Rattus norvegicus: one gene and its partners. The protein of the gene in region 6 interacts with the protein of the main gene of each other region in a pairwise test. Links are inferred from orthologs where the notes say so. Each region holds a gene or a part of one and is shown on either strand. Other genes may lie near its edges. The genes, in order: Dnm2, Copb1, Ctnnb1, Kpna3, Nfkb1, Htt and Mageb18.

Region 1 (3,646 bases), on a different chromosome or scaffold from region 6:
AGTGTTAGGAGTGGCCCCGAGATGTGACTCCCCTTGGGAACTTGCTGGTGTCCACTGGCTGTGTGTGGACCTGAACTCCTAACTGGGCTCTGACCACCTTTGCCTCTTGATCTTCCCTCAGTGTTGAACTTGACCCTCATCGACCTCCCAGGCATCACTAAGGTGCCAGTGGGGGACCAGCCACCAGACATCGAGTACCAGATCAAGGACATGATCCTGCAGTTTATCAGCCGGGAGAGCAGCCTCATTCTTGCCGTCACACCTGCCAACATGGACTTGGCCAACTCGGATGCCCTCAAGCTGGCCAAGGAGGTGGACCCCCAAGGTAACTCCAGCCTGGGGCAGCAGCCACTTCCAGTAGTGCTAGGTCCCCTCCCTGGTGTGCTATGTCACAGGGTTGTGTTAGAAAGGCCTCCTGAGATGCCTTGCGACACTTGAAATAGCTTCGCTCTTCCTTGAGTGTTGATGGGGTCTACTCCGCCTGCCCTAGAGTCTGGCGTGTGGCTGTCGTAGTCAGCTTTTCATCACTATAGCCAACACGGTGACAGAGACCCTGTCTTAAAGAGCATTCAGGGCTAGTTAGGCTCAGTGTTTCAGAGCACCCTCTTGTGATTAGTGGTTTCTGCTATTGGGCCTGTGAGTGGATAACACTTCACTGTGCACATTGGGAGCAACACAGAATAAGAAAAGGACAAGGGATCCTACAAGGTGATGCTCCAAGTGACCCCAATGACCTGAAAGCTTCAAGGAGACATTTAAAACCCAAATTATAGTCTGCACAGAGTACCTCAGTGAGGGTTGCTCACTTAGAAGTGCCCAGCATGAATGAGGATCTGGGTTCAATCTGACAGCTTATTTGTTAAGAGCACTTTCTCCTGAGCGTGGCAGCACATTCATTTAATTCTAGCACTTGATAGGCAAAGCAGGTGGATCCCCGTGAGTTCAACTCTGACCACTCTACAGTGTTCACTCCATCTGGACCTGGAATAGCTCAGTAGGTGGTGTGCCTGTTAGTGTGGAGGACCCCAGCACTGCATGACACTGGTGTGGTGCTTCACACCTGGAATTCTAGGACTCCAGAGGCGAACTCCAAGAGTTCATCATAGGCATTTAGAGGCCAGTCCGGGCTCTATGAGAACCTCTCTCAAAGAAAGGAAGAAATAAAACCTAGAAAAGTAGAGAAGGGCGCACACAACCTGGTGGAGAGTTGAGGTCATGAGTGGAGGAGACCCTTGAGACGGCAGGGTGAGCTGGAAGCATAGGGCTGCAAGTCCTCCTTCTCAGGAGCCTCCTGCCCATCCAGTCATGCTGCCCGCTGTCCACACCTATGCCTGTGACAAAGCATTAGCAGGGCAGTACAGAATGGGCTAAGGTGGTCACCATTTGTGAGCACACTGGCCTCCTACAGCCATTTTTGTCCTTTTTTCCTTTTTTGCCTTTGCAAGTACTCATCGTTTTTACAGAAAAGTTACCGTGGGAAATCAGGAGCCCACAAACCTCCCCTCTTCCACATAGATAACCCTGGCCACACTTCCTTCCAAAGTTTTTCTTACGTGTAAACTTACTTTTAAGTGGACGTCCTTCCTTATTTTTGTCTGTGCCTCTGTTTGTGGTTGTTGCTCTTGGCGATTGCGACTTTTATTTTTCAGTCGTGGTTTCAGGATGTAGCCCTGGCTACCCTGGACTTGTAGACCGAGATAGTCTCAGTATCAGGTTCTACCTGCTTCCGCCTCCCACGTGTGAGGATTGCAGGTGCAAGCCACACGCCTGGCCCTACTTTATACTATAGTGATAGTATGTTACTCTGTGGGCAGGCCCCACTGTATACTGACCCACTCCTTAGCCTCCCTGTATCTCTTCTTATCAACAGACGGTTTCATTTGGTGTCCATGTCTCAGGCCCCGCCCCACTCATTTCTCTCTCTAGTGTGACCTCTTCCCTATTCGCTGTATGAATTCTTATAGGCACACCCCCTTCACAGTAGTGCCAGCTAATGTAGACACCTGTGATGTCCAAGTCGATACCCACCTTCTGTGGGCCTCCTCAGCCTCTGTGTGTCTTGCACATGTGCATGCAGGCACACATTCACATGTGTATCCAAGCTGGTGCCTGTGTCCTGATGTGACGGCTGTTCTTGCTAGTTAGGCGGGGTCCTCTGTGGTCCAGATTGGCTTCAAACTGTTTAGCTGAAGGTAACCTTAAGCTTCTGGTCCTCCTCTCTACCGCCCGATTGCTGAGATCACAGTGGTGTGTCTCCATGCAGGCTCAGTGTAGCTGACCAGGTGCTTCGGAAAGAGCCCAGGCTCCTTGGCAAGTGCTCTACAGCTCAGCTGGTACAGGGTAGGACCCAAGGTTTCTGAATGCTAAAGCAAGACTGGTCCGTGGAGTACACTGGCCCCTACCCTGGCTTGGAAGCTCAGCTCATAAACTGCTCGGGTGAATTGTGGTCAGGACCCCAAACTACAAAAGCCTTGGCCATAGGGATTAGGGAGTAGTGGGGAGGCTGAGAAGCACATGGGTTTGGCGTAGCTCTGCTGTGGGATGTGCTGACTCTGGTTGACCTGGGGAGAACGTTGATGTCCTTGGCATGGTAATTGAACCAGGTAACAAGGGGCCCTGGAAACCGTTGCTCAGGTTCAAGTGTGATGTTGAGAATGGGCAGGGGAGATCCTGTTTCCATGATGTTCATTGGTTCTGCTGAGGCCCTCGTAGGCTCTTGCTAGTGTTCATTGAAAAAGCGCTTGACACTTGATGGGAGTCCCTGGGGCTATACCTGTCATTTTACACTCTGCCAACAGGTGTCCAGGCAAAAAGACACCATGGCTCTTGTCTCTTGGCCTGTCAGAGGGCCCCAGGGTCCCTTCCTCATCATCCCTGCTGACTTGTGGACTCTTTCAGGCCTGCGGACCATTGGTGTCATCACCAAGCTAGACCTGATGGATGAAGGCACAGATGCCAGGGATGTCCTGGAGAACAAGCTCCTGCCCTTGAGAAGAGGTAGGTAGGGCTGGGGTGGGCCACTGAGCGTGGGTGTGTCTTTTGTGATTCTCCTCTGGACAGTGGGTCTACATTACAGCTGTTTCTGGAACACTAAGAAGCAAGGACACAGCCATGCCTGGTGCTTGCTGTGATCCCAGCACTCTGATGGCAGCCTGGGCTACAGGACACCTTGTTTCAAACAAACAAATACAAAATGTTTCTTCAGAAATAGGTTTAGGTCTAGGTCCTGGGAATGAATCTCAGTGGTATAGCCCTTGCCCAGCATAGCTAGGAACCAGGCTCATTTCCCAGCTTCCCACACAAAGCAACATGTCCTGCTGCTGATTCTGCTCATTGAAGGACCCTGAGCTGTCACTTTCCTATGTAGCGTGCTGGTGTGTAGGTGTTGAAGAATAGACAGCCAGGCACGGACACACATCTGTTAATCCAGCATTCAAAAGCCTGAGGTAGAAGGGTCATGAGTTTGAAGTCAGCTCAAGGTAAAGTGCCGAGACCCTGAGTCTGCCTTCTGGAATTCACATTAAGAAGGAAGGGGGTACTGACTCCATCTGTCTTCCAACCTCCATTTTTGAGAATGTTTTTGAAAACTTTTTTCACTGTAAGGAGTGGGGACCAAGAAACACCTCCCTAGCTAGTGGAGGCTGAG
Region 2 (3,646 bases), on a different chromosome or scaffold from region 6:
ACAAATAATTATTTGAACAAATGTTAACAGTTCTCATGGAGGCAGGGGGAGGGGAGCCACTTTTAATTTTCTATTGCTCCTGAGGTTTATTTATCTGGGTAATTAAAATATAATTTTCAGTGTTCTTTAGCTCCAACACTACATAACAAAAACACAAAAGTGAATGACGACAGAAACATCAATTGCTGTTTTTCTTTCTTTGTACTAGGACTGAACCTAGGGCTGCATGTGACTGGACATGGACTTCACCACTGAGCTGCACGGCCAGCACAGCAGTTCTCTAAGGCACACAAACATACCTCCCCAAGGGACCTGCGGACTTCAGTCATCACACTCTGAATGTCTTCCTTAGTACTGCAGTACTCGCCCAGGATCCACAGTGCTCCTCGATAAATCCTAGGACAAGAATGCAAGATCTGAAATACAAACCTGGGAACAAATCTTGATGTAGAAACACTTCTCTGTGAATTTAAGATAAGGCAAGAAATCAGGATTTTATATTCTGGAAGAGGAACATTTCAGAAAGACTGGAACAAATGGGAAGCTAAGAAAATAGCTATTTGCATTCACTGTCATTAGGAACATTCTAAAATTAGTGAGTTGAGCAGTAAAAGTTAAATAGCCAAATGTTTCCCACGGGCATTCATTTAGGGGACAGTTAAAATTAATAAATTTGGCTTTATCATTTTCTACTATGAGAAAAATATTATTTGAATATAATTTTTAAATTCATTTCACTTTTTTTGTGCAAGACATAAAATGTTGAGTGGGATGACATATACAGTACATCTTGTTGGGGCTGAGGGTCAATTCACTGGTACAGTGTTTATCTGGGGACCACACATGTGCTGGGTTTGAAACCAGCCCAGAAAGCACTACAGCACGCAATGACGACCAGCTGCAGTAGGCACATATTTACAGTAAAGGTACTCAGGCTACACAGTAGTGTCCTGTCACAAGAACAAAGCCAATTCTCAGCCTAAAATGTTACTGGGGAAATGTGAACAGGACGGCCCCACAGGCACATGTGTTTGAATACTTGGCCATCTGGAGTTGCACTATTATGAGGTATGGCCTTGATGGAGTAGGTGTGACCTTGTAGGGGTAGGTATGGCCTTGCTGTAGGAAGTGTGCCACTATGGAGGCAGGCTTTAAGGTCATATGTGCTCAAGCCATGCCCAATGTGACACACAGTCACTTTCTGCTGCCTGTGGATCTAGATGTAGAGCTCTCAGCTCCCTCTCCAGCAACATGTCTGCCTGCACGCCATCATGCTTCCCACAATAATGGACTAAACCTCTGAACTTAGACAGTTAACAAAGACAGAAATAATTTTCTATTTTAAAATGTTAAACTGGATAAAATTTTTAGTTATCCTTTTTCTTAGATTTTAACTGAATTTATTTAGAAAAATAAAATCAACCATAGAAACTAAAGTCCCAGAAGATTTCAGCTGTCAAAAGCAAAGCTTTGATTCAATTTTTCGTCATAACAGGACAAATTTTACTTTCATATACATGCATACACACATATCATACATAATATGTACATGACATGTGTGTGTGTATGTGTGTGTGGGGGTGATTGAGTGTGTGTGTATGTATACCTCTCAGTCACTTTCACACCACTGAACTAACCGTGTACTGGTCCCATCCTATTTAAGTAGACATACCACCAATCTCTTGTAGTTTATCCAGCAAATGCAATAAATGAAGCAAAATCTGTATCCAAAAACCCTTTGTCATAAACAGAGGCTAATGGAATCAAACACATCAGATTCAGATTGTTTTCAAACCTTTTCAATAAATGCTGAGGGTGACATAAATAATATTCAAAAGGTGATTTTAAGTACAACACTTAAAAAAATGTTTCTTGGTCATTCTGTGGTTCACAACGTTTTAGATATAATTAGAACACGGAAGCCTAACTGAAACAATTCTATGCACTATGAACTGAGAATGGTGAATGATATTGTGCACTGTATCTTATTTCCTCTATTTTATTTTCTACTGACTCTTTAAAATAGAAACTGACAAAAGTGCTCAACTTTACATTAAGTGTAGTTTAAACTTACTTGACAGACTTAATAGCATGGAAGACTTCCAGCATCTTCTCAACAATCAGCATTCTCAGGTTGTCAAAGCGCTGAATGGCTTCACGCACAAACTCCAAGACATCAGCAGCTGCTGCTTCATTACTGTCACTGAGAAATTCCATTAGCTAACAAAAAAGAGAAACGGGACAAATAGTTATATAGTTTCCAGAGATAAAAGCATATAAAGTCAGAAATAAATTAATGAACAAAGAGTGGAAGTCCGTGATTTTCAACATATAGACCAAACGTAAGCTGAGACGGACACTGGCACATAAACAGGAGTCTCGATAGTCCTGTGTGCAGCCAAGTTTGTGATGAGGATTTAGAGAAAGAAATCTGAGTTCTTTCCCTCGTTATCATAGGAATACATGTAAAGATCTTGATCTTTATTATTTCAGATGGTTACAATTTCAGTAGATGTAAAATAACCCAAAAAGAAAAATGAAACATCTAGAGAATCTTACAGTAAAACAATAAGAGTTACATACCACAGGAATAACATTTGCAGCCATATCTGGAAATCGGACAGAGCAGGAATGCAGTGTTCGCACGAGAAGCTGTCGGTATTTGTCAGTGTCTTCATGCTCAGACACGTTATTTGTTTTAATTACTTCCTTCTTCAAGACAATAACCAACTATGGGGGACAAAAGTAAAAATAAGTGAGAACGACATCCTATCTGGACCTCTTACAAATAATGTTACCAATGTTTGTTTTACCTCTTCAACATTCCTAGATGAGACAAGATCCAGTGCTAACTGCAGCGTTTTCTTGCGCACTTCTAGGTCTGGTGTACTCAGTACTCGTAGGATGTCCATGACCAGATCCTGAAAAAAACAAAAACTACAGAGTGATGCCAGTGTTTTTATCTTTGTGAGAAAAATATCCAAACTGCACCACAGTGCTTTTTGCCCTCCATCACCTCAGGCCTCTGATTAGTAATGGCATTAGTGGTGTAGGAAGAAGTAGACACTTGGTTTACCTAGTGTAATGAGACATAAAGTGATGACATCACATGTGACATAGCCAAGCTGACAATGTATGCTTCGACTCTATCAAGTTTTAGATTTGACTTGTTTCATGGAAAATACAAAAGTCAGAGGAACAAGCTAAGTGACATTACAGCAAAGTAACCAGCCACATCCAGGAGGAAGAACATTTTAGAGGAAACCCAGTTTAGTTAACTCTTCAAAAAATTGATGACCAGTAGAAAGACGTAAAAGGAGATGGTGATTTAAGAGTTACACCTCATGGGAAACCAGGAAAGGGGATAACATTTGAAATGTAAATTTAACACAAGGCCCTGGGTTCGGTCCCCAGCTCCGAAAAAAAGAACCAAAAAAAAAAAAAAAAAAAAAAAAAGAAATGTAAATTTAAAAAATCCAATAAAATATAAAGAAAAAAAAGTTACACCTCAGTTGCCCAAAATTTACACTGCCAGGCTTCAGGTTCTAGGTTACATACAGTGGCAAGGCGTGGGCTGATCTAAACATAAAGGACAACAGAACTTACTTGGAGGACTCGCTCGTGAGCAGGATGCTCTTTTAGTTCT
Region 3 (3,646 bases), on a different chromosome or scaffold from region 6:
ATGTACAGTGCTGCTAGCATTTCTGTCATTAGAATTAGTTAAAAACACTTCTTCTATGTTAAGATTGTTAATGTGTTCTTGTAGTAAAAGAAGCACACGAGGAAGGACTGACTGACCACTCAAGAGCAGGAGGCAGGGCTCAGTTCTTCTGTGGTCTTCACTGTGTCCTGGTGCTCGTGGTTAAAATGGCCGACGTGCAGCACTGTAGCAGTAAATTTCTTCTTAGACCATAAGCAATTTTTAACTCCTAGAGATAAATCCAAAGGTTATGACATTCCATAGTTAGAGTAGTGTTTTCTTTAAATAATTGGATTTGTTCTAGTACACATTTTTTAGAAAGTGAATTGTTGGTGTGTGGTTCTATAATGTGTGTGCTTTATGCAGTGATCTTAATCATAGTTAATACTAATTCAAAATTCTTATAAGGTGAATAAGGCAATTTTATCCCTGATGGGAACTTGGAAAGGAACCTTAATGTAAATCTATACTAGTTCTACAAGAGGAATTTACAGATAAAGTCACGTGATCTTTGAGCTCATAGATAACTGGAAAATACATTTAGAGAGCAAGAAGGAAAAAAAAAAAAACCAAAGAGAAATTGTACAGATTCCTTAGACTGGGTAAGGAGATGCGAGAGAAACTGTGAGTCCCACATGTGCCCTGCCTAGAGACTGCAGACACAGCAGTGTCTGTCACTGGTTACTGCCACCTGGATGAACACTTACACAGGTCCTCCTCATACTGTGGTTGGTTTTCTGAAACACCTTGACTTGGTTCCTGGATCCATTACCATTTTCCTCTCTTATGTTTGAGGTCTCTCCCTCAGTGTTTCAGGAGGATTTTGCAACTTTGGTTAATATTTAACCTAACATTTTTGGTTCTAAGTTTCATGGGGGTACCAGGTTAAAGTATTTGTGGCATCCCTTCCCCCCATTTTAAAAGCACTGTCTGTTTTTACTGAGTTTGCTTTTCTTGACCTTTTTCTTTTGACATTGAAGAATCTCCCACAGTGGCAGTTAGAAAGCATTGATTCCCAGGAATTATGAGGTTGGTCCCTTAAGAAATCGGCAGGGTGTGCCTAGAAGGGAGAAAGCAGCCTTTGGCTTGAAGCCTCTGCTGAGGAAAAGTTTCCTTTGAGGCCAGGCCTTCCCTGCTGCACTTCTGGGTGGACTTCCCAGGGCCGTGCTGCTGTTTTGGTAAATAATGCTTAGAATTCTTGCATTTTTGGATCTTTCTTTGACCTGCATATTGCTACTTAAAGCTGTCAGCTCTCTTTCATCCTGTTTTCATCTCCCTGTTGCTGACATTTGCCCTCCACCCACCTCCCTACCCTCCTCCTCTACCCTACAGGGCCTCTGTGAGAAGCAGGGATGATTCTTATGTACTGCATAGGGTGCTTTGTTAGGTGCTAACACTGGATGCTAATGGATTTTGTGTTCAGGACTCTAACATCTGCAGATACTGAGTTTAGAACATGATCTTTTCCCACATAAAATTATTATATATTGTCTTCCAAATAACCAGGTCAGCTTATACACCAGGCAAGATGGTGAGTGTTTGGGTCCCGCAACACTAAGGAGGAAGCAGGGACAGGGCTCTGCCTGTATGTGGTGGTGGCACCGCCTAGTCTCCAGGCCTGTCTGTGTTGGCCACATGAGGGAAGTGCTAGATACATACAGGGTTCAAGTCCCCTCTGCAAAACTGCAGTGAGCCTGCACTTTCCTGAGGGCTGGGGAAGGCAGCAAAGCAAGGCCACACCCCTTTTCCACACAGGAGTGGGCATCATTGTTGGTTAAAGATGGAGAGCTGTGCTCACTGTACAGAACTTTTCTGTTTTTCACTTTAGGGTAGAAGGCTCTGAGGTAGTGGTCCCCTCCTTTGACAGCTAAGTGTCACTTTGTACTGTGGACCCTGAAGCAAGGGCCCAACCTGAGCTTGCTTACATTAGCCTCGGAGGAGTGATGGAATCCAGATGTGATCCCAGCTCAGGAGGGTGAGCATGGCAGAGTGCCAGCCTGGGCTTCAGAGTGAACAGTTTCTCAGAAAACAGGAAAAGATCGGTGTGTTCTCTCTACTTAAACATCGGTCAATGGTGGGGTTTCTCACTTCATTAAATGTTGAAAAACACCATTGCATGAATTGAAAATGTAGCCATACCTAGAGGTCCTTTCTGTGTCTTTATCCATTTGCTGCTGTTGTTAGCTGTAGTGCTGCCTGCTGGGGCAGACATTAATAATAGAGTCTGGGGGTTGGGGATTTAGCTCAGTGGTAGAGCACTTGCTAGGCAAGGGCCTGGGTTCGGTCCCCAGCTCCGAAAAAAAGAAAAAAGAAAAAAAAAAATAATAAGAGTCTGTTCACAGAGTACTAGAGGTCGTGAGCCTTAAGCTCCCATTTCATCCTTGGTAACTTAGTAGTGTTCTTGAATATTGTATAGTAAGGTCAAAGTGAAGACATAACTTAGGCTAACATTCGCCAGTGGAAGACGTCCCACTGTTGATGGCAGGGGCGTCTGTCTATACCAGCTGACGTGGCACGGACAACATTGTGCGAACTTAGGCAAACCTCATCACAAGGGACTTCCATTTGTACTTCAGACTTTGACTTAAAGATATTCTGCTTCTTCAATAAGCTGCATAAACCACCATTCTGATCTGGTAATTGTGCTATATCAGGAAAAACCGTGGGTTTATTTAATAAAAATTTGGTGGTTTTTCTTTAAAAAAAAAAAAATCTACTGCCTCCTGGCTGGGATTTCCAGGCATCCTGAACCCATGCACAGCCTTCAGGGTTGGTGGTGCAGCTGGATTTTAACTAGTGCTCTCTTGGCTTTCACTAGAGAGAGGCCATTCTCTAGCAGCACCTGTGTCCACACTCTGTTTCTGCTGAGAAGAGCCCAGTGGTGATGGAACTGTGGCTCGTCTGAATTTTCAGTGGATGCCATGATGAACTGACTTGGGTGAGGTGTGGGTGGGAGGAGCCAGAGCCTAAACAGGCAGCAGAATCACAGTGACAGGTTAAAAATCAAGCTTGACTTGTGACGACTTGAACTGTGACGACTTGAATTGTGATGACGGAATCTTTTCAGGGTATCTGAAGCTCAGCGCACAACTGCTGTGACACCGCTTTGTGGACAATGGCTACTCAAGGTTTGTGAATCTCCTCAACGAAGATTTGCTTCCTTCCTGCTGTGTGGGGTGGGGTCTGCCTCAGCCCCTGCTGCTCTTGCACACTGGCTACTGGCTTGGTGACATAATCAACAAGCCACCCAATGGGATCTAGTGGGTGGGTGACTCTGGAGTCCAAGTTCATACCTGTTCCATGGGGCTCACACTGGCATCACCCTGCTCCCCACGGTTGCCTTTCTAAGTGTTCAGCAGGTCACAGCGGGTCCCGTCGCTGACGTCGTACTCAGGCAGCATTCTCAGTGCATTAACACTGTTTTGCAGCTGACCTCATGGAGTTGGACATGGCCATGGAGCCAGACAGAAAGGCCGCTGTCAGCCACTGGCAGCAGCAATCTTACCTGGATTCTGGAATCCACTCTGGTGCCACCACCACAGCTCCTTCCCTGAGTGGCAAGGGCAATCCTGAGGAAGAAGATGTGGACACCTCCCAAGTCCTTTATGAGTGGGAGCAAGGCTTTTCC
Region 4 (4,336 bases), on a different chromosome or scaffold from region 6:
TGCTTTCTCTCTGCAACCCTTTCTACTCACAGCTCTCAAAGAATGCTGCCTTATTTTCCTTGTACCAGATAGATGACTGCATAATTTAAAAATGTTTTATCTTCTGTCTACACTATTTGTAAAGAAACAATAGCAAACACCCTAATAATCGCAACTACTTAATTATAGTGCTAACTCATAGTATGACTCAAATGCAGCACAGCTTTTAATGGGAAAAATAAATTTAATATGGCTGGCATCTCCTCTTAGTTCTGTTTAAAACCACAATAAAGACCCTAAATTAGACCAGACCCTAGATTACCCTTCCACTACATTTCTAGCATCCACCCACTCCCCAGAACCCCTTAGCAAAGCAGTCCCATTGCAGTTCTAGGAACTTCGGAAATTAGTAATCTTCAAATCACAAAAGCCTATCCCCTTCTTCGACCCTGCCCTTCCCCTTCCCCAGTTATCACCTTTTCATTTCATTCATTTGCTTATTTTTTGAGGTAGGGTGCCCGCCGGTTCAGGATGACCTTGAACTCCTAACTTGCCGCTATCCCAACAAGTGCTGAGATTACTGAGGGCGCACCAAGCTTTTCTTTGACTCTTCAGGATCAGCTCATTCCCATTTATCTGTCAGAGATCACTCGGACGCCATCTTTGTTTGCACTAGTCACCCAATAGTCACTTAGCAAATGAATGCTCTCAGATGTTACCAGCACGCTACAGAAACGTGCAATTCTATATCGAAGAATTCTTCTTGGGGTTGGGGATTTAGCTCAGTGGTAGAGCGCTTGCCTAGGAAGCGCAAGGCCCTCGGTTCGGTCCCCAGCTCCGGAAAAAAAGAACCAAAAAAAAAAAAAAAAAAAAAAAAAAGAATTCTTCTTCTCTAGTAAAGGAATGCACCACTTCTAAGTGGTGAGGATTAAATGTTCTTGGTATAGCACACCAATGTATAGTTCTTTGTGTCTGCCACAAAGAACTACCATTTGAATGCCTATTTCATGTCCTAGTTATACTGACATAGGCTTGGACATGAAATGTTGTAAACAAAACCCGACAAAATGGCAACTGTCCTTTTCATGTATCCACAAGCCACTTGTCACCTTCTAGTAAGCAGCAAGTAGTTGCTGTGGATCTATTACATGCAGAAGTCCTCACTAGTTATCATTTAACAAACAGGACACAGAACTCAAACGAATCATGACAAAAACTTACACCAACATCCAGAAAAGGAAAGAATGTACAAGCAATAGAGTATCCACGTAAACTATTCAGGTTTTGCTTACAGTAATAAGAGACAACCTCAAGAACAATTACTGGTGGGACAAAGTGTGGTGGCCCACACCTGTAATCCCAGCACGTGGGAGACTGAGGCAGGATTATTCTCTCTGCTTAACCAGCCTGCCCTGTAGTTAAAGCCTTGTCTCAAAAACAAAACAAATGAAAAGCAAGAGAGACCACACACACGCCACATACACATACACATACACATACACATACATACACACACACACACACACACACACACACACACACACACACTCTTACCAAAAAAACAGACTGATGGATGTTCCATTTGCTAGGTTTCACTTTTGTTTGGAATTCTCATAAAGAAACTTAAATGTGATCAGGGCAGAGATAGAAAACCTATAGTCTCACTCAAATGGGAATTCCACAGATATTCCCCCAGGTTCTTTCCAGTTCATAATTAATTTTGTAGCTCTGAAAAATGGTCCAGGTTCGTCTGCTTCTCAACCAAACCAAACCCTGTATTTACTAACTAGCCTCTTACCAAAGACTACTAGACTATACAAATCATATTACCTACTATTAGAATAGAGAAGAGGATATGGGCTCAAAACTATTTCCCCCATCAAATCCAGAGGTTGGGTCCCAGTGAAGTTTGTGCTATTACACTTCATTGGTTTTAGTAGGAGCAGAGAGACCTCTAGCGCTACCTCAATAAGCAGAGTTTGCAAATAGTAGCTGCTAATGTCACCTTAATGAGACAATGGCAACATGCTGAGTAGCAGCAAACTGAGTGACCACAATGAATGTTTACAGTTTTGCAACCACTTGGAAAATCTACTAGCTTGGTGGCATGTGGTATACACAAGGACGTAGGAATCTATGTATCCAATTTATTTCTGCAAAACAGGTCAAAGAAATTATTTTCCTATTATTCACACTTCCACTCCAAAACGTGCTTTAGAAAAAAAAAAAATCCCAAGATCAGAGGTCTGCACAACCTCCTTCCCAAAGCTTCAACACAATAGACGGTAAACTATTGTCCACCTTTAGCTCGCTCCAAATGCCAGCAGTCACAGGGGTATGAGCTGCAACAGCTCGGGAAGACTGGTCCAAAGGACAGCACTGGAATATAAGAAAATGGTCTTGGCGCATCCTACCCTCCCCCATCCACCACCCTCAAACAAGTCAGTTACCCGGCTGGTCCCCACCCCCCTCTGAGGGCTGCCACCGCCCGCCTGGGCCCGGCTCGCACAAGGTAAGCGCGGGGACCCAGGCTCCATGTGCGGCAGCGCGGGAGGCTGCACCGGCTGCGGACACGAGCGGCGGCCCGGCCCCGGCGGTGCGGTCGGCACGCGGGGCGGCAGCATCCCGGTCCGTCCTCCCGCGCGGCCCGCGGACCCCGCCTCGGCTCCACATCCCTTCCCCTCCGACGCCAGGCCGCGCCCGCGCAGCGGGGCCGAGCGCTCAGCGGTCCCAGGTGCCGCGCTAGCCGCTCAGAGGGCGGCTGCTGCCCGGGCCGCGGCGCCCCGAGGCGGCGGCCAACTCCGACTGACCGCCAGCCGGCGAGAGCCAGCGGCCGCGGGCCCCCGCCCCTCCCCGCCCTACCCAGCCAGCCGCGGAGCACACTCGCCTCCACATCGCGGCCCTTGTTCTTGAAGCTCTTAATGCGGTGGTTCTCCAAGCCGGGGTTCTCGGCCATGGCTGCGCGCGGCTCCGGAGGCGGCTGCTCCTGCGGCGGCGGCGGCGGCGGCGGCGGCGAGTCGAGCGGGAGGGGACGGAGGGGGAGGAGCGCGCGCTCCGTGACGCTTGGAGCGCGAGGTGGCCGCGGCGCGGGGGCGGCGCTGAGGAAAGGCGCGCGCCGGAGAAGGCCGGGGCGCTGGCCTGCCGGCTGTCGCGTTGACCCTACCCTCACCCCTTCGCCGGGCCTCCCCACAGCAGCTAGTCATGTGCTAGAAATGGAGCCCGACCTAGCAGCTTTTACCGCCACCCCTGAAGCGGGGCGGAGGGCGCAAACTACAATTCCCAGATTGCCAGGCGCGGGTCTGAGCCACGGTGTGAGAGGACGAGAAGCATGCCGGGAGGGCTGTGCGCGCGCTTTCGGCTAGGCGCTCTCTGAGCGCGGGCTCGAAGCCCCACCTCTGGGCGGGCTGGTGGGCGGGGCAACTCTGGAGATGGCACCTTGCAGCCTATCCGGAGAGAGAGGCGGAGCTCCGGGGGCGCACCTTGCTTTCTACAGCTTCGAAAATTAGAAAAAGAACGGCCACGCGTGCTTTGCGCTTTTGGCTTCTTTAGGGTCTCCTCAAATAGCAGCCACCCTCAAACCCTGTTCTCTGCTTTGCTTCGGTTTTATAAATAGCACGCTTGTTTCCACTCCACAAATACATGTGAGTGTGATGTGTGTGTTTATGATTGCTTCCTGCACCCGCTATTAAACTCAATGAGAAAAGAGACACTGTTGGTCTCAAAAATCTGTCAGATCAAAACAGTACCTAGTAAATTCTGATTTTAAAAAAAAAGTGTTCTAGCATCCCCTGATTTCTCCAAGCATCCTTGTGCAACCTTCACTTTGGCAGCCCTACCTTTCTATGACCTGATGCTTTAGTCTACCTAACACAATGTAGCCTTCAGGACCTAAGTCTGCAGACTCCAGATTGTCAACTCCCTTTAGCTTCCTGTTGGAACAATAACAGTTTTTTTGTTGGTTTTGGTTGGTTAGTTGGTTGGTTTTGTTTTTGTTTTTACAGCAAGATAACCTTATTAGATTATATATGAGTATTACATTTCAGAATTGTCTTAATTAGGGTTTCTGTTGCTGTAAAGGGACACCATAATCATGGCAACTCTTATAAAGGAAAATATTTCATTGGGGCTGGCTTACAGTTCAGAGGTTGAGTCCATTGTCATCATGGCAGGAAGTATGGTGGTATGCCCGCAGACATGGTGCTGGAGAAGGAGCTGAGAGTTCCACATCTCAATTTGCAGGCAGCAGAAGGTGACTGTGTCCACAAGGGACCTAACTTGAGCATAGGAGACCCAATGTCCACCTCATATTTCCTCCAACAAAGCTATACCTCCTAATAGTGCCACTCCCTATGGGCCA
Region 5 (4,445 bases), on a different chromosome or scaffold from region 6:
TGCTCTTCTGATTCAACTAGCATGTTCCAGATACACTCCTAACACAGTACAGAACACAACATCTAGATGAAGATCACTAGCAGGACACTCCTCTAGGTGAAGGGGAGAAAGGGTATTTTGAATTCATTCCCCAAGAATCCTGATGGCAAGGCTACAGGTATATGGAAGTAGAACACTCACAAGGTCCTGGGTTTGATCCCCGACTTGGCTATGTCATGAATCCACACAGCAACTCAGGACCAACTATTTGGGCCTGCTATTTGAAGATGCCAGCTATTATTTTCTTTGCCCATGCTCAAATTAATTAAGGGTTATAAATGGTCACTTCTCCCTAGAAGCCAGAACTTTCCCTCTTCGGAGCAGGGGAATACCTCATAAATAAATTAGGTAAAACCATGGCTTGCCGATTGAATGATAATCCACAGTCCGTGTGGTTGCCAAGTCTTTATCTAGACCTCTCTACCGCAATGAGCAATCCCTGAACGTCAGCAAAGCGGCTTACTTCATCGGTTATCTGGAAGTCTGCAAGTAGTGAAAACAGCCCACAGAAATACTAGCTTCTCCACTCAGCCTCAGTTCACCCGAAGGACCATGAAAAGGAACAGCACCATTAAATCCGACGCCGTTCGTTTCCAATCACTCCAGCTTTAACCCACTGCATATCAGTCAGCCTGGCTGTGCTAGTTTTAAGGGCAGAAGTAAAAAAGGAAGTAGAAAGATCAAAGCAGTGCTTACAAAGGGGAAGCAGGGCTGTTTTCTGTATGTATACTCCAGTATTTACTAACTGGCTTTCAAACACAGGCACATTCACAACCTACACAGTTCAGGTAATTGCCCTATGTAGAATGCAAGATGCTACTTAGTTTCTGAACGGAGATAAGAGGTGACAGAGATAATCAGGTTGCCACCAACCTTTAACAGGATTAAACAACTTTCTTTAAAAGTCTTCTGGTTTTGAAGTGGTTAGTGTTTCCCGGCAAGTATAGTATTTTAGTGCCAGCATTCAGCGTACAGAGAAGCCTTCTTTTGTGTTCAAGTTTATTCAGTAGCTTAAGCCAAGGAGACATTTTCTCTAAGCTAGCAAGAGACTCCCAGATGTACCAGCATGGACCAGAGTTGCCGAGTTCACGTTCCCATCAATACGCGTGCTCTTTTAGTCATCCAGTTGGGGCGATAAATGTTAAATGCAACAGGAAGCAAACCCTTTTAATTCCAGGCTTCTCAAGTTCTTATGCAAAGCAAAGGACTTCGCTGTAAATAATTTACATAATTTTTCGTGCATCAAACAGTAAGAGACACCATCTCTAGAAAGCACAATATTAAAATCAAGGGGAAAAAAAAAACCCACTTCAGTAAGGACCTTACTTTAATCAAGTTTCCCTTTTCAAGGTCTGACGAGCGTTAATGCATTTTTTTTTGCCACCCAAGAACACTCCGCTGAAGATTCCTTTAGAAAGCCATCTCCATCTTTAGGACTAACCACCACTCTGAGACCCAGCATTTGATGCCACGGCTATGAAATGTTACTCAACACCACGAGCAGTTCTCAGTTATGAGCCCTAAAACAACCAAAAATTTTAGTTAAACATGGCTACTTAGAGAGCTGCAGTGCCGACCTTTACTTTGCAAAGTCCATAAAAATGGGTTAAATTTAGACGATGAAATCTTCCATCATTAGTTCCATTTAAGCTTTAGAATTAGACCAATAAACAGAGAGCCAAGATCAGTGTCCGGCTCAGAAGACCGAAGGAAGCTTACACGTAGGAGAGGCGTCATTCGTATCTTTTTCTGTTTCAGAGGTCAGGCACAATAACATGGTGCCATTATCCTAGAGTAATCAAAAGTCTAAAAGGTGCTATTCGTAGGTAATTCCTGTCTCAGATGCCAGGCCTGGAGAATCGGGGTGAGGCCCTCCTTATATTTTGAAAAATCAATGTTGAGATTTGGCAGCTGAATGTATCATGTGTGTGCATCGGGGGTGGCGGTGTCTATCACAGATTGGTAAGCGGCCCCCAGGCTCTCCTGCGGGATTCTTAGGAGCTGGGAAGGGCTTTGCCTGCCCGGAGGACTGACAGGCACTTCTGCTTTCATTTCACCGACCGCCCTTTGGCGAAATCTGGCTGTGCACTGCACCAAACACCTTTCTATCTGTCCTTTACCGTGGAGGACCTCAGCCTGGCCGCCACCACCCCACCCCACACCCGCGGCAGGGGCTCGGGTACATCTTTCTAAAACTTTGCAAGAGTTCCCCTCCGGTTCCCGTTCCCGCCCGCGGAGACGCGGAGGGCCCCGCCAGCCGGCCCGCAAGGCCTCGGGCCGCCCAGTGCGGATGTGCTCTGTCCCCGCAGCCGGGGCCGCGCGCCCCGCGACTCCTGCCCCGGGTTCCCCCGCGGTTCCCCCCGTGAGTCCCAAGCCGGTGGGACCCGCTGCACCGGCGCTGCGGAGAGCTGGTCGCTCTGTTCCCCTACCCGCCCCGGGGCTTACCCTGGAGGTGAGGCGCGGCCTTTCCGCGCCTGCGGGCTCCCGCTGCGGGGCAGCGTGGACCGGCGGGAGCCCGAGTAAGGTCCTGGCGCCGGCCGGCGGCTCAGCGGCGCGCCATGGCTGCGGCGCGGGCGGAGAAGCGCGGGGCGGGCCGGGCGCGGCGGGGCCCTGAGCTCCGGCCTGCGCTGCTGGAGCCGGCCCGCGAGCAGGCCGAGGGCGGCGGCGGCGGCGGCGGCAGGCCGGGGGCGCGCAGGGCACGGGAAGCCGTCAGCGCGCAGCCGGGCTGCTCGGGTGGCGAAACCTCCTCTTCCTGCCCGGCTCGCCTCGGTACTTCTCTCTCGTCCTCTCTCGCTCACTCTCTCACTTCCTGGCTGGAAATTCCCACTGACGTCGAGAGAGCAGACAGACGGACGGACCCACGCGCGCGCGCACAGCGGGGGCGGGAGGTGGGGTCGCCGCCGGGGGTGGGGGAAGCCCGCGCGCCCGGATCGGGCGCCCCGAACCCCAAGCCCCGCGGCGACCGCGACGCCCCCGGGAGGCGCCCGCAGCCCAAGGGCAGGCCTGGACAGCTGGAGGCCACGGGAGACCAGCCTGGTCCCCACGCGCTGGACACAAAAGTCAATCTCATCTGCATGTTCCCTCCTCTGGGGGGTCTTGGATACACTCAGATCTCTTCACAGAGCGAACCGGAACTTCGAGATCGTAGTTGAGGTCTCTCCAGAGAATCATGAACTTATATAGGGTCTGGATGAAGTCTTTCAATCCTCTCAATTATTCCAGCCACAGCGAATTGTCCGGCCTGTGAGATCATCGCTGTGGATGGAATTATAGTGACAGTGGGACCCGCGGTGTTGGTTCACAGCTCATAAATCCTTATCCGGCTCAAGGGAGGTTATTTTTTCTGGAGAGGCCTCCCACTGATGACCATTTGCTAGTATTTGAGCTTATTCTTTGGGCATAGTGACTCCATGGGCCAGGGATGACACCCTGGGGCGAGGTAGCTCCCAAGTGAGCTGTGACCTGAAACATATTTTAGAGTCCAGGGTCTCACTACTGAGTTCAAGTGGAAATACAACTTTGAAACGCCAGGGATCAATCAAGTAGTCAGCACGGTTTTATTTTGCTACTTAACCCTCTGCGTTCCCACCCACGAGGTTATAAAAACCTTTCCAGGAACACAGATTCCCCCCTCCGACGCCCCCCCACTCCCACCTACACACACTGGATATTTGAGCGTCTTTAAGTGACCTTAAAGTGCCCTATCATCAACCTTAAAGCTGTTTCATTTAGATTCCTGAGGTCCTTTTGCCATCTAGAGTTCAGAGGCTTCCTATAAATGGAAGACAAGGATGGAAACACTTTGTTATTATTTATGGGACAATAGAAATTGTGCCCTAGGGGCCTTGGAAATCAGTCAACAGAGTGGTTATTGGGACCTTTAGCCTTTCTGTATGTAAAAGTCGTTGCAGATGGGGGCGCCTGTAACCTCAGCAGTGAGAGGGACAGTTGGATCTGGAACTCATTGGCTAGCCAACAAAGCCAACCTCTGAGCTCCAGGTTCAGTGACTAAAGTGACAGACACAGACCTTCTGCCCCCCACCCCCACACCACAAACAGTGTGGGAGGGAGGTGGGGGGGAGGGAGAAGGAGAGGAAAAGAGAAAACTGTGTCCTTGCTATGATTTAAGCACACTGTTATATAGAATGTATATAAAATGATTTTTCCCCCTGCTGACATGAATACAAAACCGGCAAGCTCTAGAGGAACAACGACGTGTAAGTTGTTTGTCTTTCCTCTGTGGACTAGGTGGGGACGGGAAAACTCTGCAGTCTGCCAGGTGTGGCAGTCCCATTGTCAAAGGCATATAATAAAATTGTTACAAAGGTAGAGGCAGTGGGATATACTATGAGAACGCAAGTTGAAGGCTGTTCATCGGGAGAAGTATCCAGTTAAACTTGAAGCTC
Region 6 (4,345 bases):
GAATACCATGTCTAAAGCAGTCAAGCCTGGCATTTCCTAATCCCCTTCCCTACTGTACCTCATCACTTACTATGAACAAACTACCTTGCTCACTGTCTATGTCCCTCCCAAGAATTTTAGCTTCATGAGGTCATAACTTTGTTCCCTGCTAAAACCTGGAACTAGAATAAGTCTGGGCACACAGGAGATGATCAGCAAATATTGATAAATGAATGACTACGATCAGGAAACCTAATGAGGTCTATTAAAGGTGAATGTCAACTGCTTAAGGCCTATCGGACCCAATGCAGCCAGCTGAGCAGAGAACAAGTTCTCGGCTATTTCAACAGAAGCCCACGCATGGCTGTGACACTGGTTCTATGGAACACAATGAGAGTCATAAAAATAGAACAGATTCATTCTAAAACTGTTTTGGCTGGTCTCACTTTGAAAAAAGGACTTTTAAGCGGAGTGAGTGAACAGAATGCCAAAATCAAAGCTTCCAAGCAGTGAGTTTGTTACTTATTATTAATGAGCATTTGGTTTTTCACAGCAAAGTACATAGAAATATAAAATATACACTAATGGAGCTGACTTTGGAAAATGTTACAGTTGGTGATGTACAGTGTGGTAACAAGGGGTTGTTTAAGCTTTTAAAAGCTTTTGTTCCAAAACACTTTTGCTTATAAAGAATTTAAAAAGCCTGCCCTAACATATGCCCAAATTTTATCTGGAAGGACAAATGAAGTGTAACAGAGCTTGCTCCTTGGTACAGAGTTAGGAAACGGGAAGGGAGATGTTTTCATTATTTAGCCTTTTTTATCTATGGGACTGTATCATGTTTAATGAATTACTTAATTACTTATGCAAAAACAAACTAATTTGTGTTTGAAGCGGGTACAGAACACTCTCTCTGACAAAGACACACACACACACACACACACACACACACACACACACAAGTTTACAGAATATGTGGGAAATATGTAAACTTCCACAATTCCTACCACCAAGAGAGGCAGAGTCATGGTAATAATCTAAACAACTAACTAAAAAAATATTTGAACAGTCAAGCATGGTGCCACATGCCTTTAATCCCAGCACTGAGGAGGCAGAGGCAGGAGGATAGATCTCCATAAGTTACAGGAGTTACATAGTGAGACTGTCTCGAAAGCAAAAAGAAATTACTTATCTAGAGATAAGAGGTTTTCTATTCACAATTTTCACCTTATAGAAGATAAATTTATTCATATATTTTGTTCTACAAATAAGACAACATTTCTCCCCAAATCTTTATCTTTTAAAAGTAAACTCAGAACAGGGAAGGGATGCTATCAGAAACACAAAAACAAAAAAAAAAAAAATTAGTAAAAATGAGCTTGGAATAAGCTCAGTGGTATCATTAGAACACTTGTTTTCTAATGAGTTTTAATGTCCTTCTTTAGTAGGTTGTTTCCTGAAAGTTCTCCTTATTAATTATACAAGTTCAGATTAGAAATAAAATGCCCAGAGTTGAGAGAAAGACCTGAGCTCAAGAAATCACGGGGCTGAACACCCAGCATGGACTTCCAGGAAATATCTTGAGCATCTCTTTTCTCTTAGAGCATTGTGACTCATGATCTGTCTTCTGTTTCAATATTCTCTCCAGTCACAAGCAGTGAGCTTCCAAAGATCTATAAGATGTCAGTAAAGAACTAAACAGGAACTTTTACTGGTACACGAGATATCTACACAGAGTCTGAGTGGTCCATGTTCTAAAACAAGCTTGACTGCAACACTCCCGGGTGTAAACTGCACAATACCAATGTATCCATTTTATATACAACAGAAAATAGATAGGCAATAAATATCAGTCCACTCTTTCATATATATGCACATACACGTATAATTTGTATTAATAATCACACATAAGTAATTCACCGTGTACTTGACAAATACAACTCATCCAACTGCCTGCAGACCAACAGAGCATACAGAAGCACACCTCTCCAGCGATGCTTAAAACCTTGTTAACTACACTGCACCATGAACTAAACGAAAACGCCAGGAGAGTATGAAGTGCCTCAAGTCACAGGCTGCTTCAAGTGTCACTTGGAAAAAGAATATCCCATTGGATGCGTTCACACTCCCCCGCCCTCAGCACTCCCGCCGAGACCTCCTAAAAGCATTATGTCATCCACTATCCGCACATCTCTCACGCTGTCCTGCACTCCCGGCTCCCAGGCCTGATGAGGAGGTAACCCAAGAGATCTCTGCCTCTCCAAGTTCTCTTCACAACAGTCAAGTGCGCCACCGCCCCAGTTTCCCCCGAAGAGAGAAACAAGTTCGTTCCCTAACTTCGCAAACTGGGAACCGTGAAGGCACTGGAGCCGTGACGCTCCTCAGCGAGTCCCTCGCTGGCCTGACCAGGCTGTCTCCTCTGGGGAAGGCCAAAGACCCCTCAAGGCAAGGGCCCGGGCCGGGAAGGCCTGGCCTCAGGGAGGTACCGCGACCCTCTGGACAGGGGACCGCGTTGGCCATGCCCAGCACGCAGGCCAGGGGCGCGGGCCCCGGGCGGGAGCTGCGGCGCCCGGACTCACGGTCGGTGCAGCGGCTCCTCGGCCGGACCTGGCAGCGGCGGTGGTGGCGGCGGCTGCCCCTGAGGCGGCGGCTGAGGGGGTTGAGGCGGCGGCGGCGGCGGTGGTGGCGGCGCCTGCGGCGGCGGCTGCTGCTGCTGCTGTTGCTGCTGGAACGACTTGAGCGACTCGAAAGCCTTCATCAGTTTTTCCAGGGTTGCCATGACGGCCTCCTGCCCGACAGGACAGACCCTGAAGGCTTGGAGCCTATTCGCACTACGCAGCGCCACTTAGCAGCAAGGTAATGAATGGGGCTCTACGAGGTAGACCGAAGCGGAACCAAAGCTCCCAGCCATCTTGGGCCCGTCCCGGCAACCCTCGCGGCGAGTGCGTCCCGTGACGTCATGCCGGCGGAGGCGAGGCCACGCCAGACCTGCAGAATTGACAAGCGGATGCGTCGTCCTCTTTCTCAACGTTTGGTCGTGGGCGTGCCCTGCCTCTGCTAGTTTATTAAGACTCTCCGCCCCGCCGATGAGGCCCCGCCCCTTCCCGGCCGAAGAAAGCTCCTCTGAGTGAAAAAGCCAAGCAAGAGGATCGGTGGGCGAGGCAGGCTGCCAGATGAGGGGCGGAGCTGAGCCGAGAGTGAGCGCGGCAACGGCGACAGAAAAGTGGTGAGGGGGTGGGCAGAGGAGTTGGGGAGACCCGGAAGGAAGGAAGGGTTGGAAAGGGGAAAGAAAGAGAAGAAATTTCCCTGCATAAAGCCACACTACACCTGGAGTCACCGGGAAGGCGACTGTGGAGCTCGGAACCCAGAATCCAGAGAGGCTCTTTTTTCCACTAGCCAGGCAATGGCCTGAGCTTCAGTCCCGAGCGCAGCGAACTGGGGAGCTTTGGTCAGACACACTACAATGAGACCCAGACCCTGGGAACTGCTATACCCATCAGCCAGAATCTAAAAGGGGGGTCTCATTGCCACCAGGGCTGAGGTCCTTGTCTCTAGAGCCTCCATCTCCCAAAGGTAAACAATTAAAAGCAGGAAGCTAAGAATGGTGCGAGTACACCCAGGCTGTTCCTTCAGCCTGCCTAGCAAAAAGTGTTGGCTTCAGCCGGGTATGGTGGTGCATGCCTTTAATCACAGCACTTGTAGAATGCTTTGAGTAGCATGCACAGAAGCTCTGGGTTTAATCCCTGCACTTTATAAACCAGGAGTGGTAATCATGCCTGTAATCCCAGCACTCAGCAGGTGGGAGGAGGATCAGGAGTTCTAGAGTTTCCCCTTGGATTCATAGTGAATTCAAGTCAGCATGGGCTATATCAGAACTTGTCTCAAAAGAAAAAGGAAAAGGGAAAAAGAAAAGAAAAAAAAAAAAAAGCCAGGCAATGGTAGAGCACACCTTTAATCTCAGGAGGCAGAGGCTGGCAGATCTCTTGAGTTCGAGGCCAGCCTGTTCTGCAAAATGAGTTCCAGGACACAGAGCTACACAGAAACCATCTCAAACAAACAAACAATGTGCTGGCTCCTGAAAGAGCTGTCTGGAGGTGATCCATGCTGTGAGAAATCCAATGAAGCTTCGGGCTACCTGTAAGACTCAAATGCCCTATTCCATGGCCATAAGACACTCCCTTTTCTCAAAATGGTCAAGTATACAGAAACCAATATTGTTCCTATAGGGGTATAAGCAGCCCGCTCCTGTTAAACTGCCAAGGACAGCAGAGAAACAGTCTTTAAATTCCATGTCCCTCCTGTTACTAATGCCACTGTTGGATGCACAGAGCCAGTGCCAGCCCTCACATGAGGCAGTCTCTAACAG
Region 7 (4,191 bases), on a different chromosome or scaffold from region 6:
CCAAAAGATGCCCCAACATATAAAAAAGACACGTGCTCTACTATGGTCATAGCAGCCTTATTCATAATAGCCAGAAGCTGGAAAGAACCCAGATGCCCTTCAACAGAGGAATGGATACAGAAAATGTGGTACATCTACACAATGGAATATTACTCAGCTATCAAAAACAATGACTTTATGAAATTCGTAGGCAAATGGTTGGAACTGGAAAATATCATCCTGAGTGAGCTAACCCAATCACAGAAAGACATACATGGTATGCACTCATTGATAAGTGGCTATTAGCCCAAATGCTTGAATTACCCTAGATGCCTAGAACAAATGAAACTCAAGACAGATGATCAAAATGTGAATGCTTCACTCCTTCTTTAAAAGGGGAACAAGAATACCCTTGGCAGGGAAGAGAGAGGCAAAAATTAAAACAGAGACTGAAGGAACACCCATTCAGAGCCTGCCCTACATGTGGCCCATACATATACAACCACCCAATTAGACAAGATGGATGAAGCAAAGAAGTGCAGGCTGACAGGAACCGCATGTAGATCTCTCCCGAGAGACACAGCCAGAATACAGCAAACACAGAGGCATATGCCAGCAGCAAACCACTGAATTGAGAATAGGACCCCCGTTGAAGGAATCAGAGAAAGAACTGGAAGAGCTTGAAGGGGCTCGAGACCCCATATGTACAACAATGCCAAGCAACCAGAGCTTCCAGGGACTAAGCCACTACCTAAAGACTATACATGGACTGACCCTGGACTCTGAACTCTGACCTCATAGGTAGCAATGAATATCCTAGTAATAGCACCAGTGGAAGGGGAAGCCCTGGGTCCTGCTAAGACTGAACCCCCAGTGAACTAGATTGTTCGGGGGAGGGCGGCAATGGGGGGAGGATGGGGAGGGGAACATCCATAAACAAGGGGAGGGGGGAGAGGATGTTTGCCCGGAAACCGGGAAAGGGAATAACACTCGAAATGTATATAAGAAATACTCAAGTTAATTGAAAAAAAATAGTGCCTGTTAGGATAATTGTAAAATAATAGTTAAAAGCAGGTCAACAGAGAACAAAGAGCACATGTTAAGCCAAATTCTTTCAGTTATCTATTACTGAAAATCAATTCAGCTTAAAACTACACTGTTAAATTGTAGTTTAGTGTTATTTGTCCTTTTTGCTGTTTGGGTTTTTGTTTTGTTTTGTTTTTATTGGTTTGTGTTTTGAAACAGGGTTTCTCTGTGTTACAAAGCCCTGATTATCCTGGACTCCTGGATTTTGTAGCCAAGGCTGGCCTCAAACTCACAGAGATCCAACTGCCTCTGCCTCTGCCTCTGCCTCTGCCTACCGAGTGCTATGATTTAAGGTGACTGCCACCACACCTAGCTTCTAGTTCATTTTTTATATGTCCTGCTTTTTATTATTATTATTATTATTATTATTATTATTATTATTATTATTATTATTATTGGACTGGGCTCACTGCTGGTTCTTTTCTGAACTTTCATGCACTGGGATGTTACAGTCAAATATTGGCTGAGAATATAGTTCATACCAAATCTCCATCAACTGCAACTATTGGCCCAGAGGTTTCAAGATTGCTAAATCCCATAGCTATGAATTGACGCTGAGAGCACATCTGGAGCTTTCAACTGGAACACATACACATGACTTTTCCAAGTGGCCTGCAATTTGTATAACTGTGTGACAAGAGGGAGTATCCAAAGAGAAAGTGGTCCAAGAAACAATAATTATAAACAGCCAGTCTCTCAACTCATAAGCCAAGAAACAAACAGCTTCACATTACTCGTATTGACTTTTTCAGGAAAACTCTCACAAAGTTCACCCATATGCAACATAAGAGAACACAGAACCCCATTGCTCAATGACTCAAGGGTCAAAGAATTTTAATCTGTGTTGTGGGACTTTCCCTGAACAAAAGTCTATTCGCCTCAGATAGGGCGAATAACAGCAAAGAAACAGTTGTATCCAAGCGTAATTTAGCAGTTGATCAGTTGTCGGGATATTACTTATAGGAGTATGAGTGAGGGGGTTACTTACCCGTACAGCATGGATGTCGCAAAGCCAGATGATCATCAAAAAATCCACTAGAGCATTGGTGACGACGACTCACCAAAGCTGCATCTCTGGAGCTCCTTGCATGGCGCACAGGCAGCTGAGCCGGTGGGGGTGAGAGAGTCTCCTCTGTCCAGCAAGTGTTACTGTTTAGATAACCTTGGAAAGGGGCCTTATGAATCTTATAAGTTCCGGGGCCTTTTGAAAGTTGTAAGTTTGTTTATTTCCTGTGTCTTATGAGCCTCCCTCCCTCTTTCAGGAGGGAAGGTTTCAATTGCTACATAACAGTCTACCACGTAGCTCCATTCATAAGCTTCGTTAGGAAGGTTTGCAAACAAGAGACGTTAGGACAGTTACATCAGAGAAAGATGACTGATGACACAGGGAAGATTAATTGGATGGTGATGGAGACAAGTATGATCTAGCAATTAAGAAAAAGTGATCACGTTAGAAATTATGGAGGTTAGAAATCCTTCCCTTTTCTATTCAGTTGGAGAGACCACACAAAGAAAATCCTAGAACACACAAGTCATAAGACTTGATAGGGATAAAGGCCAGAGAAGACAAACATCCAGAAATCTAGGCTAATAGCTGAGTGCCAATGTTGTATAAAATAAAGATATTCAAGAAAAGTAGAGTGCCAAAGAGGACAAGGATTTATCAATAATGAATTATCAAGACAGTTTCATTTTGTTTATAAATCCATAAAATATTCTTTAAGCAGACCAAAAACCCCACCTTTATTCTCAGAGGAATAAGCATTGGATATTTTATTTCTCCAGGGTTCAATTGTCTTCTTTATATTAGCAGATATTTCCATTCCCCTCTTACTTTTATCCATAAAGATTTCATTAACAAAACTGTCAGCATTCTATTACCTAGAAAAATTAAATTAAAAATCCTATTACTAAAAATGGGAAATTTAATAAATTCTAAATTCAATATTAAAAGCATTTAATTTCTTTAAGGCCATTTCCCACTACCTGCCATTTTCAAAACCATCTTTGAGCACATACCCACTTTAAATTTTTAATCATCTGTGAGTGATTGGCTTTAACCATTTCAAGTAAATCTGTACTTGAACTTCCTGGCAGCAAAAGACTGGGATCAATATTTGCTATAAACATCTAATCAGCTAACCTAGTCATTGTCACTTATGGTGAATAGAATGCCGGCTATGAGAATAGACAATCCAGAAAAAAAAACTCCATACTGCAGACAAGATTTTGACAAGGATCCCAGGAACATACAATGGAGGAAGGACTCTATCTAGTATGGTGGCAGATGAGCTAAGCATCCTTGTGCAGAACAATGACAGATCATCATCTCACACAGTATATGAAAACAATCAACCCCAAAAGAACTAGAGGCTTAAATATGACTTAAAAGGAAGAAAATCCTACAGGACAAAACCACTAGAGAATACCTCCATTACATTGACAGTGAGACAACCACAGTAGATATCCCTGATAAATATTCATGCAAAAATCCTCAGCATAGTACTAACAAACTGAACTGGACAGTATGTAAAGAAGATTACATACCATGGCTATAATGGTATGCCTGGAATATACCTACCGTTACCCACATGATAATTAGTGCTACCCATCACATCAGCCAAATGGAAAATAAAAATTATTCAATCGTCTAAATGATAACAAAAATTGACATCGTGTCAAAAAGGTACGACATCGTGTTGCAGTAATAGAATAAACAAAAAAGAAAGAAGTTATATATCTACATGATAAAAGCGACATATAAGAGGCACATCACTAGCATCACACTTAACATGGGAAAACTGAAGGATTTCCTTTTAAGATCAGGAAAAATATAAGGTTCTCTGCTTCTGCCACTGCTATTCAATGTAGCATTGGGAATCCTAGCCCCATCCAAGAGGCAGGTATCAAAGAAAATAGTGCAGCAAATCATTAACAAAAATGAAATTATCTCTGTTCACATATACAATAATCTTCTGTATACAAAAATATCTAAGTTCTATTATGCCATTTTGATACTTGAAAGTTTCTTTTTATTTATATACTCAATCACTATACTTCTAAATAACTAATTTGTGTTTTCTCCACCATAGTTCCTTTGTACGTCCCTGAATTTTATTCCTACAT

The links.
Region 1: the proteins of Htt (region 6) and Dnm2 interact in binary tests that used the Homo sapiens proteins (3 or more experiments, as listed by UniProt). The link is inferred for Rattus norvegicus from reciprocal best matches to the Homo sapiens genes HTT and DNM2.
Region 2: the proteins of Htt (region 6) and Copb1 interact in binary tests that used the Homo sapiens proteins (3 or more experiments, as listed by UniProt). The link is inferred for Rattus norvegicus from reciprocal best matches to the Homo sapiens genes HTT and COPB1.
Region 3: the proteins of Htt (region 6) and Ctnnb1 interact in binary tests that used the Homo sapiens proteins (3 or more experiments, as listed by UniProt). The link is inferred for Rattus norvegicus from reciprocal best matches to the Homo sapiens genes HTT and CTNNB1.
Region 4: the proteins of Htt (region 6) and Kpna3 interact in binary tests that used the Homo sapiens proteins (3 or more experiments, as listed by UniProt). The link is inferred for Rattus norvegicus from reciprocal best matches to the Homo sapiens genes HTT and KPNA3.
Region 5: the proteins of Htt (region 6) and Nfkb1 interact in binary tests that used the Homo sapiens proteins (3 or more experiments, as listed by UniProt). The link is inferred for Rattus norvegicus from reciprocal best matches to the Homo sapiens genes HTT and NFKB1.
Region 7: the proteins of Htt (region 6) and Mageb18 interact in binary tests that used the Homo sapiens proteins (3 or more experiments, as listed by UniProt). The link is inferred for Rattus norvegicus from reciprocal best matches to the Homo sapiens genes HTT and MAGEB18.

The regions. Positions count from the first base shown.
Region 1 is NC_086026.1:28,295,947-28,299,592, forward strand, and holds part of Dnm2 (dynamin-2), read left to right. Parts: intron 1-121; coding exon 122-325; intron 326-2,898; coding exon 2,899-2,997; intron 2,998-3,646. UniProt on the Homo sapiens protein: Catalyzes the hydrolysis of GTP and utilizes this energy to mediate vesicle scission at plasma membrane during endocytosis and filament remodeling at many actin structures during organization of the actin cytoskeleton.
Region 2 is NC_086019.1:177,852,272-177,855,917, forward strand, and holds part of Copb1 (coatomer subunit beta), read right to left. Parts: coding exon 3,607-3,646; intron 2,922-3,606; coding exon 2,814-2,921; intron 2,731-2,813; coding exon 2,584-2,730; intron 2,221-2,583; coding exon 2,075-2,220; intron 397-2,074; coding exon 300-396; intron 1-299. UniProt on the Homo sapiens protein: The coatomer is a cytosolic protein complex that binds to dilysine motifs and reversibly associates with Golgi non-clathrin-coated vesicles, which further mediate biosynthetic protein transport from the ER, via the Golgi up to the trans Golgi network.
Region 3 is NC_086026.1:129,531,010-129,534,655, forward strand, and holds part of Ctnnb1 (catenin beta-1), read left to right. Parts: intron 1-3,085; 5' UTR 3,086-3,133; coding exon 3,134-3,146; intron 3,147-3,446; coding exon 3,447-3,646. UniProt on the Homo sapiens protein: Key downstream component of the canonical Wnt signaling pathway.
Region 4 is NC_086033.1:39,783,186-39,787,521, forward strand, and holds the start of Kpna3 (importin subunit alpha-4), read right to left. Parts: upstream 2,943-4,336; 5' UTR 2,936-2,942; coding exon 2,867-2,935; intron 2,860-2,866; exon of another isoform or gene 2,404-2,859; coding exon of another isoform or gene 2,281-2,403; intron 1-2,280. UniProt on the Homo sapiens protein: Functions in nuclear protein import as an adapter protein for nuclear receptor KPNB1. Binds specifically and directly to substrates containing either a simple or bipartite NLS motif.
Region 5 is NC_086020.1:226,802,596-226,807,040, forward strand, and holds the start of Nfkb1 (nuclear factor NF-kappa-B p105 subunit), read right to left. Parts: upstream 2,868-4,445; 5' UTR 2,485-2,867; intron 1-2,484.
Region 6 is NC_086032.1:80,216,744-80,221,088, forward strand, and holds the start of Htt (huntingtin), read right to left. Parts: upstream 2,926-4,345; 5' UTR 2,759-2,925; coding exon 2,559-2,758; intron 1-2,558.
Region 7 is NC_086039.1:61,453,211-61,457,401, forward strand, and holds the start of Mageb18 (melanoma-associated antigen B18), read right to left. Parts: upstream 2,945-4,191; 5' UTR 2,054-2,944; intron 1-2,053. UniProt on the Homo sapiens protein: May enhance ubiquitin ligase activity of RING-type zinc finger-containing E3 ubiquitin-protein ligases. Proposed to act through recruitment and/or stabilization of the Ubl-conjugating enzyme (E2) at the E3:substrate complex.